Linked DNA regions of Arabidopsis thaliana. The protein of the gene in region 1 interacts with the protein of each later gene in a pairwise test. Each region holds a gene or a part of one and is shown in the gene's direction. Other genes may lie near its edges.

What was found. Proteins that work in one complex are often made in the same cells at the same time.
Region 2: the proteins of SK3 (region 1) and AT2G04230 interact in a two-hybrid assay, tested with the Arabidopsis thaliana proteins (2 studies listed by BioGRID).
Region 3: the proteins of SK3 (region 1) and HWS interact in a two-hybrid assay, tested with the Arabidopsis thaliana proteins (2 studies listed by BioGRID).

What each region holds. Positions count from the first base shown.
Region 1 is NC_003071.7:10,946,644-10,951,155, reverse strand, and holds SK3 (SKP1-like 3), read left to right. Parts: upstream 1-1,529; 5' UTR 1,530-1,604; coding exon 1,605-1,922; intron 1,923-2,068; coding exon 2,069-2,242; 3' UTR 2,243-2,409; downstream 2,410-4,512. UniProt on the Arabidopsis thaliana protein: Involved in ubiquitination and subsequent proteasomal degradation of target proteins. Together with CUL1, RBX1 and a F-box protein, it forms a SCF E3 ubiquitin ligase complex. The functional specificity of this complex depends on the type of F-box protein.
Region 2 is NC_003071.7:1,445,248-1,451,573, reverse strand, and holds AT2G04230 (FBD, F-box and Leucine Rich Repeat domains containing protein), read left to right. Parts: upstream 1-2,473; 5' UTR 2,474-2,895; coding exon 2,896-2,909; intron 2,910-3,010; coding exon 3,011-3,896; intron 3,897-4,015; coding exon 4,016-4,150; intron 4,151-4,237; coding exon 4,238-4,549; 3' UTR 4,550-4,779; downstream 4,780-6,326. Other genes in the region: AT2G04235 (uncharacterized protein), read right to left, coding at 1-2,160; AT2G04220 (DUF868 family protein (DUF868)), read right to left, coding at 5,250-6,173.
Region 3 is NC_003074.8:22,789,717-22,795,888, forward strand, and holds HWS (Galactose oxidase/kelch repeat superfamily protein), read left to right. Parts: upstream 1-2,395; 5' UTR 2,396-2,751; coding exon of another isoform or gene 2,752-2,763; 5' UTR 2,764-2,951; coding exon 2,952-3,047; intron 3,048-3,185; coding exon 3,186-4,433; 3' UTR 4,434-4,625; downstream 4,626-6,172. Other genes in the region: POB1 (POZ/BTB containin G-protein 1), read left to right, coding at 5,988-6,172.

The sequences.
Region 1 (4,512 bases):
TTGTTGACATTAAAAGTATAACAAAATTCTCTGACTTATGTCTACCGATGCAGCTTATTGTTAATTCCCAAATCTAAGCTTAACTCTGTTAGCATATAAATCCTGATTTAGTAATGACATATTGATACTTTGTTACTTTTCATCAAACAATCTAATACTGAACTAGATGAAAATACAGCATTGATATAACTGAAAGATGGTTATTGACAGTGATAAACTGACCTAAATTATACCCTAAACTGACACACAATTCTAAAGCATATCAGTTTCTAAATACACAATAGATACAAAACTCATGAATCAGCTCATACCCATGAATCTCGACAAATACAAAAACCCATGAAAATTATAGCTTATAAGCATCATAAACTCAATACAAAACCCATGAATCTTACTTTGTCCAAAACGAGCTAAAATAAATAATCGAATCCATCTAATGACTCAAGGACAAATCAAACCCGTGAGTCTTACTGCAAGAGATAGAGAGGTAGAAGGGGAGAGTGAGAAATAGTGAAATCAAATCCATGAAACAGAGAGATAGAAGGAGAGAGTGAGTGAGAGAGAGAGAACGCACGAGAAATCCGGCAAAGAATAGTGGATTACGGCAAGAGATAGGAGTGAATTCTAGTGAGAGATCCAGTGAAGAGGTCCGGCGAAGTGAATGTCGAGGAATGAAGGAGAAATAGGTTTAGGTTTTGCTGGAATTCTTTTTAGGTAGGTGTATTTTATGACATTTCGTATTTTGGATTAAATCAGCTTCCGTTAACTGCTGTTCTGTTCCTTTTTTAAATGAGTTTATTAAAAACCATCCAACTGATCCTTCTCGCTAATCTTTTAAAGTACTGTTCGTTTTTCCATTCGATGATTCATCTAAATGAAGATAAATATTGACGTTCGTTTATAATAATTTAAAAGATCATCTGAATGGAGAAAAGAACAGTATCTAATTCACACACAAAATGAACATAAAAATTAACTAAAACTATAATCATATTTTTCTCCAACAATTTTAAAAACCAAAACCCATGAATGTTCGTTAATTTCAGTTTGTTTAGTGTAACGTAGTTTTACCCAGTAAATAATAATTTATTAAAAAAATTGTGGTGTTGGTTACCAATTTTTACATTTTCATTGATATTCACTACAAAATACACAAATAATAATTAATTCATAATCTATGTGAACGTGGAGGTTTACTTTTATTAAAACATAAGACCCTAGTCAATGATTTTTTCACACGTAGTAGATGATTAACTGTATTTTCTGAAATCAGATACGGGTAAATCTGGAAAGTAAATATTATTACTAAGGTTGAGCTTTTGGAAAAGTAAAAATATTTCTCTTTAAAAGAAAAAAATAATAAAGATTTTGTTACTTAAAATTCCAATATTTGTTTCCCTTTTATTGTTTTCCTATTATTAAAAGGATTAGATTAACATAAAAGCAATCAACCGACTTTAATTACCAAGTAAGAAATTGTTTTTACATAGATCTATAAATAGGGCACCAACTTCCCAAACCTTGAGACCATCACACAATTCACAATCAATCGCAGAGCCGATTCTCTTCAAAACTTGTCTAGTCCTTTGTCCTTGTTGCAAACGATGGCAGAAACGAAGAAGATGATCATCCTCAAGAGCTCCGACGGTGAATCCTTCGAGGTCGAGGAAGCCGTCGCGGTCGAGTCCCAGACGATTAAGCACATGATCGAGGACGACTGCGTCGATAACGGAATTCCACTTCCCAATGTCACCGGAGCCATCCTCGCGAAGGTTATCGAGTACTGCAAGAAACACGTTGAAGCCGCTGCTGAGGCTGGTGGAGACAAGGATTTCTATGGTTCCACCGAGAACCACGAGCTCAAGACTTGGGACAACGATTTCGTCAAAGTTGATCATCCTACTCTCTTCGATCTCCTTCGGGTTAGTAATGTCTTTTTCTTTGTTTTTTGGTTTTATGTTTTTAGAATTAGGGTTTTTTATATTTTTTCCATGACTATGTTAGGGTTTTATTTATATTATTGAATGTTGTGTTTTGATTTGGAGACTAATCGTCTTGGTTTATAAAGGCTGCCAACTATTTGAACATCAGTGGACTTCTTGACCTTACGTGCAAGGCCGTGGCTGATCAGATGAGAGGCAAAACTCCAGCGCAGATGCGTGAACACTTCAACATCAAGAACGACTACACACCTGAGGAAGAGGCCGAGGTTCGCAATGAGAACAGGTGGGCGTTCGAGTGATTGGAAAAGAATTTAAGAACATTTGATATCAACAAATAAAATAAGAGAAATTTATTTTGCCTGAATTTCTTTTTGCTTCCAATCTCTTTTGTCACAAAACTCCCAGAAGTGTTTCACATTTTCTTCATTCAATCCCGGCTAAACTTTATATACATAAAATCACAAAGTAATATGCATTATCAATCAAACGATTTCACAGACAAAAAAAACAGAAAAGAGATAATAATACGTCTATCTATATAAGCTATATAATTATGATGTATTTATATATCCAATTTGCCACGTTTATTTTATGATACAATAACATGTTTGCCCGAGCCATAGACGATATGAGGCCAGATGAACATGGTCGGATCTGAAATAGTCTCAATTTCTGAAATCCAATGGTAAGAGCTTATCTTCCTTTCTTATCTGCTTAAGATATAGATTTTTTGAATTTCCTTATAAAATGATTGGTATGTATAACTAAATTGGTTACAGAAAGGAAGAAAGGACCTTTTGCATCATTCGAACCAATATAAAAATGGTTTTGTTTTGGTGATAGTGAAATTAAAAATAAGCTTTCCTTATACATTGATCAAACTCGTACATGATTGGCATAATTCAGATGATTCTGCTTATACCAACTAATATGTTTTGCTGTATATGCTTGTATATCTCAGATGAGAACGGTCAATGTTTGGTAAGAAAGACACTAAACTCTGTTGTTACCAATACAAAGGTAAGAAGAGTTCATTATAATCTTTAAAACAAAAGGGATAGATTCCGAGTGTTATATAAAACTAAGTCAAATGTTTTCAATCATAGATGTTTCCTATAGCAATATTTAGAAGCATTAGTCGCAGTGACAAATGACTTATTTTCGAAAATAAAACACAGGTTAGTAATAATGTTAAATTGCTTTTGATTGCTTATTATATCTTTTTGTAGATAGACTCTGAATGTTTAAAATGATTGGTCCTAACTTAGAAAAGATTTTGTATTCATGTTTGTTTCTACATTAACAATAACACTATATCAGATCACGACTCAATTTACGAAATTATGAATGTGATTTCATTAATCAAACTTTTAAAAGTTTATGAACATACGTAACAAAATAACAGAACCTAAATCTAAAAACAAAAAGTCAATAGACACAGTAGATCATACATTTATTAATTTATCTCAAATGATGGCTTCATAAAGTATGAATCTCGTTGTTATTGTGTATGATTTATTGTGTGGGGGATAGATGGAAGATTTTTTCTTTATAAACTATTTTTTTTGCACTTGTATTGAATGTGATATTAAATTGTGTTATCCTTACCTTTTTGTCTAAGCTGCTAAGGATGACCTGTATCGTAAACTTTCAGATGAAATGTTCTAAATAATATTGGTGAGCCTCCTAAAGTCTGTGACTCATTCCTTTATTTTGTATGCAAGATCTTTTGAATTTTTCGTTCTTGGAAGATGATCATTGATCAACCTGAGGCATCGCGTTGGAAAATATTCAATTTGACTTATTCGATCATCAACATCTTTGATCATCACTGTATCATAGATCTTCGAAAATAGCTAGGCTTTGATTTACCCTTTCCAGGATTCTGAATTAATCTCGTGTATAGTCTAGGATTTTGAATTTAGGGTTTGTATGTTCTTGGATTCTGACATACATGGAAGACTGTTCTACAATACACAAACGGGTATTGTGGCTATTTTGATATGTTTATAGATGATTAGTGGAGGCGGAGGACATGACTTATAGTTCATGTTCATATCACCGACATCACAAATAATAGGAGAGAGATAGACATATATCTTGCAGTATCCAATCATAACCAAATTCTTAGCCTCATTTTATCTCAATAAATTTTCATTACACTATTAAATGATATTTAAACATATGTACCCATAAATTATAGTGATCATATCAATCATTTTCTAATTTTTTCTTCTTTTTGTTTACTTTTTTTGAACTTGATGATCTTTCTTCTATAATCACATTTGATGTGTGCTTCACATCAACCATCAAATTAAGAATTTCGACTACAAGCAGAATCACAGAAAAAAGAAAATTAATTAAACCCAAGCCATATAAGTCAATTATATATAGAGTTTAATTATCATATAGATAATTATATAACTAATGCATATATAAATACCATACGGACCATGTTGCGAATGATGAAGATGTTCGGACCTTTGAAGTATTGTCTTGATCAATTTCTCTTCTTTTTTTACCATTTCCCATGCATGCTCACATTTAGCTACTCGCTCACTTACAAAAT
Region 2 (6,326 bases), 9.5 Mb from region 1:
TTTGTTCCGCACACTGTCCTTCTCTCTTTGTTGAGCAGAGCCATTCAAGAAGCCTGTATCGGTAAGTAATACGCTAGATTCTGCAAGCAGGGAATCCACTTTCTCAGATAATGTATTCATAGAACAATTACTAGCATATTCCTTGGTCACATTTCCATCCCCAGTCTCAGATTTTTCGATGTCTTTACTATGCTGCTCTTGATCTTGAAGAGGAACAAAATTCTCCGATGCTGACGTTGTTGCATTTGACAAATTTGTTGGAGATGACACAAACTTCTCAGGGGTGCTGGCTGCCTGATTTCTCTGTTGTTGTTTACAGAGCAGTGAACCTTCTATCTCAGAATTAGTATTTCCTTCTGGACTTCTCCGTGCAAACACATCGCTAATGTCAACAGCAGGAATCAATGCACCGCAACTGTGTTGATCTGGTATGCCTTTCTTTTCAGAAACTGGTGGCCTGTCATCGCTAGTGTCAACAGCAGGGCTCAATGCACCACTACTGCATTGATCTGGCAAGCCTTTCTTTTCTTGAACTGGTGTTCTATTATCATCGCTAGTGTCAACGGCAGGGTTCAATGCACCACTACTGCATTGATCTGGTATGCCTTTCTCTTCTGGAACTGGTGTTTTATTATCATCGCTAGTGTCAACAGCATGGCTCAATGCACCACTAATACATTGATCTGGTATGCCTTTCTCTTCTGGAACTGGTGTTCTATTATCATCGCTAGTGTCAACAGCATGGCTCAATGCACCACTAATGCATTTATCTGGCATGCTTTTCTCTTCAGAAATTGGTGTTCTATTATCATGTTTAGATAACAAAGCCTCCAAGTTGGTAATGGGTATATCCGCATGCTTATCCCTGAGTACACCTATTTCTTCCCTCCCAATTGATGGGGTAGTCAGAAAACGGTGTCCGGATAATTGAAGCTTTGATTTCTCAATTCTTTGAGAAAGAGCAGAACCAGGTGACGGTGGAATCAAACCAAGTCTGGATTTGCTTTTCTGAATGGTTGACAAGCTCTCAACTAGTGCCCGAGTCTCCCTGCTCATAAAGCTTCCACCCTGTGTAGGGGAAGGAGTAACACAAGATAAAGACTGAGGCAACATACCAACTAAAAACGCACTTTGCCTTCTAATAGTTGACGAGGAAAGGGAAGCCTCTTTTGTGTAACGTTGGCTTCCTGATTCCTGCAGACCTATGGGAATGCATCCATTTGGAAGGGACGAGGAAAAATCATCGATAGGTGATCTTGCTTCCACAGTATTGTCTTCAGGAAGCAATTCCTTGCTTTCATCTCCCATTAGAGCTGCTAGTGTAGGAGATAGATACCCGTAATCATATCTCCGAGAATTTTCACCGACGATACTCATATCATTCGAGTCTCTACCACCACTTCCTTTATCAACTGGTACAGGTGATTTTGGAAATAGCTTCTTAGGTTCTGTTAACACCATTGCACTTCCTGTATCAGATCTGGAAGTAACCTCAGTTGGTGTTTTCTCTTCTACTAGAAGATGGCTACTCGTAGGGGTCCTTACATCTCCAGACTCTGACCTAGCAAGACTCCGAAAATGCATCGAAAACGCCGTAGAATCCATCGTCATTTCATGGTGTTCTTCAGAGATAGGAGTATCCAACAATCTTCCAGGATTAATAAAATGGGAAGACACAGGACCGAAGAAATTATCCTCTGGTAACGAAAACAAAATCGATTCAGCTAAAAATTCAAAGAACAAAACCCTAAATTCACAGAGCAATTGAAGCGTACCGTTATCACTTGTAGCGGAACCAACAGTGCTACCTCCTGAAGATGGAGAATATTTCGGCCTCAAGAATGATTTATCCAAGATAGGTTCGTATTCACCATCACCATCTCCGTCAGTATCTTCGCGGTCAGATAATTCACCGAAAAACCTAATTACTTTATTATCCTCATCAGGCTCTGATGTATCACCACCGTTTTGGGGTTTCGCGGCGGAGGTATTGGGCGGCGTCTCGTAATCTTCGTCCCGGTTGAAAATGTGAACGGAAGTAATTTCCCGGTCGGCGAAGCTCACTCGTCTTAGCCGCTTCCGCCGTTGCGCTATAGATTCCTCGTCTGTTCCTATTCCGGCGGTGTTGTTCATCGGATCTTCTGGCTTTTCCGATGCCATTGGGGGAATTTTCGAATTTTTAGGGTTTGAAATTGAATTATTAATGTGCGGGAAATGCAGACATTTTAAGTTTTAATTTGAACAGTACTGAGAAGGAAGAACATTTTGATTTTGATTGAATTGATTAAATCGGGTAAATGAAATTTCAAACATAGTTAGGCCTAACCATTTGATTAATTAGATTAACCGGTCGATTAATATTTATTCTATAATACTTTTTTCTTTGTACGATTGGGCCTTACTTATAAAGGGCCGAATAAAAAAGCCCATTTAAAGAAAGACTTCTTTTTCGTTTTGCATGTGAATGTGTTGTTGGGATTAGATTCGATTCTTAACCATCGGTCTCGTTCATTTCGACTTCACTTTTCGTCCTCTTTCTTCTTCAGATCATGTATGTATGTCGCTAGTAGACATGGATCCATCAAATCTCTGAGACACCTGAGCTTGATGAATAGCCATAGACAAAGCTCTTCGATGCAAATTCTCTTCAACAGCAATCAACTTCCTCTGTGAACGATTCATTCTCTTGCTTCTGGATCAATCTCCTCCACTTCTGATAACAACATCTTTCTTCTTCATGCAGATTACTCTGTTACCCATTATTCACAAAACCCTGAATTTTGCCCAAAGTGATTCCATCATTGCTTAGCTTTAGCCGGGTTCTTGTTTGGAGCTGTTCCTTATGCAAAAAAAATCTGAAAGTTTCTTAGCGAATTGTTACCTCTATTAATTTCAATGGAACAGAAATTGTAAGTATCTTTGGTTCGTTTATGTTTTTCTTAGCTGTTATAAAGATCCAACCCTAACTCTTTGAACCCTAACTTTTTTTTTTTCCTTTGATTTTTGACAGCAAAACCGATTCTATGAATGAGGACAGAATCAGTGACTTGCCTGATGCTTTGCTTCTACAGATATTGTCTTCACTTCCGACAGAAAACGCCATAGCCACGAGTGTTTTGTCTAAACGTTGGAGATCTCTTTGGACTATGTTGCCAAAACTCAAGTTTGATTCCAATTTCAATCCTGTGTTTGATGATGATAACATAGATCCCACTATGTTTTCAGAGAATGTTTACAAGACTTTGTCTTTACATAAAGCTCCGGTTCTAGAGAGTTTGCATTTGTCATTTGAAGGTAGAACAGATTGTTTGCATGTTGGAATATGGATTGCAACAGCATTTGCTCGCGGTGTGCGTAAATTGGTATTGGATAGTTTCTATCAAGAGGATCAAACTGTCACGCTTCCTAGTGTTTTGTTTAGCTATAATGATTCACTTGAGATCTTGAAACTCAAGTGTGCTATCGATTTAGACTTTCCTTCTCGGGTTTGTTTGAAGTCTCTTAGAAAGCTATACCTTGACCAAGTACATTTCAAAGACGAAGAATCTGTTTGCAATCTTTTATGTGGCTGCCCTAGTCTTCAAGATTTGGTCGTGCATAGATATAGCAATGCCGATGTGGCGACTTTCACAATTGCGTCGCCGTCATTACAAAGATTGACCATAGAAGATCTTAGACAAGAAGGAGGTTATGGAAATGGAAGCTATGTGATAAATGCCCCTGGTTTGAAATACTTGAACATCAACGGGGTTATTGATATTGAGTCTTGTTTGATTGACAAGGCACTAGAGTTAGAGGAGGCAAAAATCAGTAACGTTTCTGGTATAACCAATGAGAACATTCTGGAGTCTCTAACTTCAGCCAAACGTCTTATCTTACACTTATCACCCCTTGAGGTAAGCTTAAGATTGAACATTTTCGCTTGGTTATTTTCTCTGCAAATTGGGCTAACACTGTTTTTGTGTATCTAAAATGTATGTAACAATGTTACACTGTTTTGTGGAAATGTACTTAGGTTAAAGTTCCTACTGGTAAAATCTTCGATCAACTAGGCTGTCTAGAGCTACTTACACACGAAAGAGAGTGGTGGAATCTGCTTTCGATCATGCTTGATAGTTCTCCTAAACTACAAATCCTCAAGCTCACGGATGTAAGCAATTTCACTAGTTGTTTGTTTCCACAACTCCACTTTCAGGTAATTTGTTGATTTAGATGACATAAACTGCATTGTTCCCAGGTATATCTGCATGACAACAAAACAAATCCGGACGAACGAAAATGGAATCCACCAAAATGTGCACCGGAATGTTTGTTGTTCCATCTTGAGACATTCTTGTGGATAGGATATGAATGGCAACGAGGTGATGAGAAAGAAGTTGCCACATACATCCTAGAAAACGCAAGACGGTTGAAGAAAGCAACTTTCTCCACAAAACGCATCGGAAGGGAAAAGCTCGAAGATTTTGAGAAGAGGCGTGAGATGCTCAACGAGTTGGCTATTGTGCTCTGGGATTCAAATTCATGTCACCTTGTGTTCGAATCTACTTAATATCTTAGACTTGTATTTTGTTGGCCATTGGGAAATGTTTACTTGGCTGCTCTACCATATATGTTAGATGCTAAATGTTTGGTGACCTTTTGAGGAAGAGTATCAGAAGATTATTACTTCTATACTAGATAATAATCCGCGGTATATTGCGGGTTAAAATCTTTTTATATAGTATAAAGTTTAGATTTGTTGCCATCCGAATATCTATTTTTTGAATATCTTGCATCAACTAGAAGAGTTTCTCTCAATGCTAAAGTGCTTCAAGAGATTCGTTGGCTCAATCTTATGAGGCTATATAATTTATTTCATTTGGTTGCAAAGAAGGTTAAAATGAAAAATACTTGGGTTCAAATACTACAGAGCATTACAAATAGTTCTACGGCACAAGGGGAGGAAACTCATCGCTCGCGGAGTGCATCCAAACTTGGTTTGCGACAAGGCAATGCTAAGGATAGATTTAAACTAAAAGTTACGAAATTTTTTGCATTAAACATGTGTAAACTTTTGTTTTTTCTTTGAATATAATTTAACATTAGATTCAAACAAAAAATAGTTTCCTGCGACATGACATTGTTGTTTGAAGTCAGGACTATGATGTTATCATTTGTCAATAAAAGATGAAGAACAAGATAAGATTTACAGCCACATGACACAACAATAAGTGAATAGACAAAAGCTTCTTAATTGTTTCCAAGAACTACTACTCAAGTTTGTATGCATGAAGAAAAAGGCAAAACTCTGGCGGCCAAGGGTTACTACTCTTGGTCGAATAATACCTGCTCCCTGTACTTGTATCGCTCTCACCACCACCACCACCACCGTGACCACTTCCTTCCATGTCGCTGTCTTCGGTGGTCCCTGGTTTGAATATGAACAAACCATGGCCTGTCCCAGGCATGCTGAACAACCAATCATACACGTCCCAAAACACTTGAACAGGTTGTTTATCTACCAACACTGTCTGATTCCCTCTGAATTTCCATTGCAAATTCTTGACTTGTATCAACACAATCCCATCTATGCTAATCCACATCTCTGGCTCTTTAGGCCCGGAGGTCGAGCTTTCCACGATGATCTCGTGTTCTTTTTTCCTATCGTAAAACTTAGCCCTGGTGGTGAAACACTTCTTGCCAAACACGTTTTCTTTCTTGTAGAACAAGGCAGCCTCGACCAAAGCAGGCCTCGACTTTGTTCTCTTGAAAGCTTTCTTCTTGTAATCACCCACAAGCAAAACCACCTCTTCCTCCGAGACTAAAGCCACGTAGAAATCCGAGCTCGGCTCTGGACTACTCGTGAATTTCGCAGACCTAAAATCCCAATACACCTCTACCGGGTTACCTTCCACATCGAACGACTTGTAGCCTTTCTTGTTCCAAAAATGCCAAGGCTTCAGATCAACCTTGCAACAATAATTCATATCGCCTTCCACGTTTGTCACCATGACCATAAGCGAATGATTCATGAGATTCTTTGACCACAATACCGTAACATTCCTCCAGAATCCGGATATATGCGCTTGGTAAATGCACGTCACGGTGCTTTGTGCTGTCTTGTACGTTACAGGATCCTCTGTTACCTTCTCTGCGAATTGACTACTCCCTCTCGAATGTGATCTAAATGACATGATCGGTTCTCAACTTATACATACAAAAGATGACAAATTTTAACCTAAATATTGGTTTCACATGTCAACCAATAAATGGTGTCGATGTTTTCTTAGAGGCTCGTGAACAAAGCACCTTGTGGCTTCTTTAGCAGATGCAAGAATGGGAGAAAG
Region 3 (6,172 bases), on another chromosome or scaffold:
TTTCATTATTATCGTTGCGTTTTATTTGTTTACGAGTGAAGAAAAGAGAAACAAAAATATAGTTGCTGAAATTTTAGTATTTATAAAATTCGCAGCAATGGATATTAGAACGTATCCATAATCTGACTATAGATAATTCTATATCGTGCCAAGAGGAACCAAAATAAATTGTACATGTCGTTTGATTCATTCCTTTAATTTATTGTGTAAAGAAGGATCCAATCCTAACAAAGTCTTCAAAACCTTCACATTTTTTCGAAATTTAACGACAACTATAGGGTTTCTAGCTAGATTTGAAAGTTTTTTCACAGTTACACCTTTACCTATCTGCAGTAATACTTCCACAAAACTAACGTTAAACTTCTGCCGGTACAAATACATGTGCTTATGTAAGAATGAAAACATTTTGAATTTAATATTTTGCACTGGACACGTTTTTCTTTTGCCATTATGGATTTTCACATAGTGACGGATACGTGTAGATCCGCCGATCCCTATGACAACATAGCATTTTGGAATTTGTTTACGTTCAACTCCTTTAAATAAATAGTTAAGGCAGTGCGTCACTATACTGCTTATTACTACATAGTCTAATTTGGTATATGCTTTGATTATGGATTTATGATAATCAAAAGTTATATGGTATAACCAATTGTCGTTAGCTCAATTGGTAAAGACCTTAGGCGAAGCTTAGAGGTCGCCGGTTCGTGTGATGTTTGGGACGAAACTAATATTACATGCTGTGGTTTCGGGCCTGAGGGGATTACGGGCTTCGGCCCAAAACTTCTTGGATTTCAAAAAATAAAAATAAAAAAGTTATATGGTATATTCTTTTGGATATTTCATTCTCTTTTTAATTTCGTTTCGCCTTAACCGCATTCTCTAATTAAAAATTTAGGTACATGATTCACACTTTTACAGTTTAGCAATGTATACAGTTTCGAAACAAATTCAGTTTCCAATGCCCATGAAAACGCGTATAATACCATAAAAGTTTATGTTCTCAAACTAGATTGAGATTAGTGGCCAATTGATCATGCATGTTCCATTTAACTGAAGATATACGTAAACATGATCAATCGTCCATGAGAACAATTTCAGTCTTGCTACACTAAAATGCAACGGATCGTAAAAGTGATTTATATTTTCATAGAACCACCACATAAATAATTAACAATTGAATTCAGATCTTAAAAAACATAGACAACAGAACCAATTTTGTTCTAAAAAAAGGCACTAAGGAGCAATGTGATCATATAGTTTAATGAGCCAGCAACTAATCGCACACTTGTAATATAATGGAATATATAAATATGGGAGTAGCTAGCTATATAAACCATAAAGGGTAAGGGCATATGATCGAAAGAAGAAAGAAAGTAATGCATATGGAGCTGAGATCAGTATATAGCTTTACACGTTAAATGTAGTTAGTGCACATGACGAAAAACTAAAAATAATACACTTGAGATAATTTGCGTTGATTTTTAATTTTGAATTTGTAGAGTGAGTGTATTAGGTAAAGGACAGGCCACTGAGAAACTGCGAGAAGTCTAGGCTAAGGAAAGTAGAGAGACAGACCTTTCAGTGTTTCAAAAGCAAAGTATAATTACTAAAGGTAAATTATAATTTTTAAAAATGATCATTTATTTATTCAAATATCAAATAATTAGAAGACAATCTTTCTAAAATAAATATAAACAAAAAATGACAAAAAGGTTACCTCATGTGGTATGTCATTTTCAGCTAACCCCTCTGGTTGCCAGAGTAAATACCAAATTAAGTAACTTTTTAATTTACTAATGTATAATTGTTATCTTTCGCCCTCCTAAATTTATAACAATATATAATATACTGCTAAAAAATATATAAAACTTCTTATATTAGTAATCCGATATGTTGGTTAAATAAAATAAAACTGAAATAATCATATTTAGTCTAGGTACAATATTAATAACGCCGGGTTTAAAAAATCATTTAATTGGTTGGTTTATGAGTAAGACAGCATTATTATTGGTGTTATGATATTTCATTGTTTTTTGTGTTTGCAAGTTCTAATTTTTGTTTTTTCTTTCTTTTGCAAATAATTAAATTATTGTATATTTAATACTCACATAGTAAAAATTAAGGAAATAACACGCGCTAACACGCGCCTCAACTTTAATCATTTTATTTATTCAAACCCCATTTCGGAAATAAAAATGACAAAAAAAAGAAGAAGAGGAAGAAAAACAGCAAAAACGTCTACTCTTCTCTCATCCTCGCGCTTGCTCTCTCTTCTCTTTTTTGTCTTTCCCTTTCGTCTCTCTATCTGTCTGTATCATTCATTCGTGTTTATTTACAATCGAACCACGAAACGTCTCTTCTTCTCTATAAAAACCAGATTTTTCTCAATCTCAATCTCTCTCGCTCTCGCTCTCGTTTTCTTTGATGAACCCTTTTACTTCATTCTTACTCTTGATAAATCCAAATTCCCGAGAAACCCATTTCATTTCCTTCTTCTGTTTCTAGAAAGACCTCTTCTTTTCGATAAACCGAGATCCACGAAACCCGCATTTCCTCTCGCTAATCTATTCTAAATTTCGATACTTTTTTTTTTTTTTTATCGGTTTGAATCTCGAGAATTCCGAAGATTCAGAGTCTCCATAGTCGAAGGTGTGTAGCGAATCGAGATGGGTTTCTGTTTGATTTCACTGTCGCTTTCTCTGCTTTCATTTCTGAGTGGTTCATTGATCTCTTCCGTGTTCGTAATCTATGATTGATGATGTATGTTGTTATCAGATGTTTGATTGATGTCTGCCTATAGTCTAATTTCATTATTAAGAACGTTTTTTTTTTGTATACCTAACATCTAAATTTTGTTGTATTAATTGTCATCAGTGGAATCTTGACGTTGAAAGGATGACACAAGCTTTCTCCTTTTTGTTTTTCTTTTGTCTGAAAAATGTATTGCAATGTTAGACAAAGTCTTAATACTATCTCTCTTCTTCGTCTTCTGCATTTTCGATTTACCATTATGCATGTATGCTAAAGCAAATCTGATTGACAAGGTTTTCTCTTGATTTATGTATTGTTGTTTTGTGTTGTTGAAATGAATGATATTTGGGATTCAGATTCGTAAAGCTTTAAATCTTTATGTGTTCTTTTCTTGGTAATGGATTTATTTATTTTTTGTATCGTTGTTTCAGAGGCTCTTGAGAATGGAAGCAGAAACGTCTTGGACCAATTATCCGTACAGCTACATTACATATGTCCCTGAAGCTGAATCATACCGTGAGCAGAGCGACGATGAAGCCAAAGTCGAAACCTTTTCAATGGATTCTCTTCTCCCTGACGATTTATTAGAACGAATCCTCTCGTTTCTACCCATTGCAAGCATCTTCAGAGCTGGTACTGTCTGCAAAAGATGGAACGAGATTGTATCTTCTCGGAGGTTCTTATGTAATTTCTCCAACAATTCGGTTTCCCAAAGGCCTTGGTACTTCATGTTCACTACCACGGATGATCCATCTGGTTATGCTTATGACCCCATTATCCGCAAATGGTACAGTTTCGATCTCCCTTGTATCGAAACATCCAATTGGTTTGTTGCTTCCTCTTGTGGATTGGTTTGCTTCATGGACAATGATTGCAGAAACAAGATTTATGTCTCAAATCCAATTACCAAACAATGGAGGACGCTTATTGAACCTCCTGGTCACAAATCGACAGATTACACGGCAATGTCTACCTCCGTAAACCGAGCGAACCAAGCAGTAAACCGCGCAAACCGGAGTTACTCAGTCTCGATAGTGAAATCGAAGCAAGTTCCAGGGAATTTCTTCCAATGGGATCTCTCTATTCATCTCTACAGCTCTGAAACAATGACTTGGACAACATTAGTAAACGATGTCTTATCCGGATGGAGAGGAGGGAACGAGAGTGTGATCTGCAACAATGTTCTTTACTTCATGATATACTCAACGGGAGGCTCAGATCATCGCCACGGCTTGATCGCTTCGAATCTATCCTCGATAGGATCACCGTCAAGCGGAATCTTGATGAGGAGTTTCATTCCAATGCCGTGTTCTTTAACCTGCGGGAGATTGATGAATCTAAGAGAGAGGCTTGTGATTGTCGGAGGAATCGGGAAACATGATCGACCAGAGGTTATAAAAGGGATAGGGATTTGGGTTTTGAAAGGGAAGGAATGGGTAGAGATGGCGAAAATGCCTCAAAGATTCTTCCAAGGTTTTGGTGAATTCGACGAGGTTTTCGCGAGTAGTGGCACGGATGATTTGGTTTACATTCAAAGCTATGGATCTCCCGCGCTTCTCACGTTCGACATGAATCTCAAGTATTGGAGATGGTCTCAGAAATGTCCTGTTACTAAAAAGTTCCCTCTTCAGCTCTTTACTGGGTTTTGCTTCGAACCAAGACTCGAGATTGCTCCTTAGTTGCAATGAAGAAGCAAATGGGTCTGTGAAAGTCTTGGTCTTTTGGATTGTTTTTGCACAGAGAAATCGCCGGCGGCTTTATGAAGATGATGATACGGTAATGTTTTTAAATTTTAGTTACTGGAAATGTTTTTCAGGAATATTGTTATTTGCAATTTGGTACTCTGTTAATTATAAATTTATAAAATGAGGCCCAGATACTTTTATTTGAACAAACGAACCCTTCTCTATCTCTCAGTGAAATATAAGAACATTTTTCAACATGTGGCCCACAATATCTCATGTAAATGGGTCGGATTCTGAAACTGGAGGTTGTCTTGTTGCTGTTCCTGGTGGATAAAAATAATGATTTTGTTCCTTTTTTTTCCACATATATTCATAATGATTTTTCATGTTTTATTAATTAATTATTGTTGTAAATTATTTTAAAGAATTATGTTTCTGTACTTGTATAAAATTGGGACCTATTTTCGTGATGGGATTTGTCAGGTTTGGCAGTGTTAGGTTTACGGGTAATGGACAACAGCTATTTTATTGTGTATTTTATCATTTTCTCAAGGGTCACTTATTTTCAATTTTCATAGCTATAATAATTTACTAAATTTTAAAATATAACAAAATGTCATTCATTAGTTATAATCGTATAAAAGTTGACGAAGTGATATATAGATTCTACATACTAAAAACAAAATTAATTTGTGTCATTATGCCAAAATGTCAAAAGGAAAAGAAAATTTAGACAATTACTCTGACACATCAAATCAGCTAAAACCTAACTAAATATACCAAACTAGCAACACATATTTTTGTTATTAAAAGCATTTATAATGATAAATCATGATCAGAATCATAGTAAGCAGATTCGAACACTAGTCTCTCAAATTTCGGTAGTAAAGTTTTCAACCATTAGAAGACAAATACGATTTTAACATCATTAGTATTGTTTTTTCTTTTTTAATTTAAGCGTTGGCTTTCCAAAATGAAATAGTAACAAGCATTAACGAGTTAAGTTGTCAATGGGGGAAGTTAAAACTCTTTAAAACCAAAAAATTGACCACACAACACATATAGTGCCCACTAGTTCTCTCAAACGAATATGGAATACTTTAAAACCCACCTCTATTCTCAAGAATTAAAGCCCAGAATTTCAACGTTCTAAAAATAGTTTTGAAAGATTTGTTTTTCACGGGTTTTTCGTAAAATAATTATGAACAAAACAAATAAATTCAAACTAATTTTTACACGTACAAATCTGACTCCTAGCCTCCTAGATGAAATTCAAAATTTTGTACCAGCAGCTCAAAGCTACTAGGTAAAAAATGTCACGAGAGAAAACCGGAGGAATATTGGTGGTTCATCAATACGAATCAAACCGAACCAAGTCATAAACCGGTTCATAGAAAGATAAGAAGACAGACAATCAGTCATCACTTTGGTCTCGTTGAGCCTTTCGTCTATCTCTCACCTGAAAGAAAGACGTTCAGCTTTCTCTTTCCAAAATCAAAAGCTCTCCGATCAGTTTCTCCGGCTTAGGAAATTAATTGAAGGAAGGTGATGAGAGGTACTACTGAGAATACGGATCTGTTCGATCCCAAAACCCAAATGGATCCTGACTTCACTCGTCATGGTTCTTCCTCCGACGGCGATTTTGGATTCGCTTTTAACGACAGTAACTTCTCTGATCGTTTGCTTCGGATCGAGATCATGGGTGGACCTTCGGATTCTCGGTCTGAAGTTGA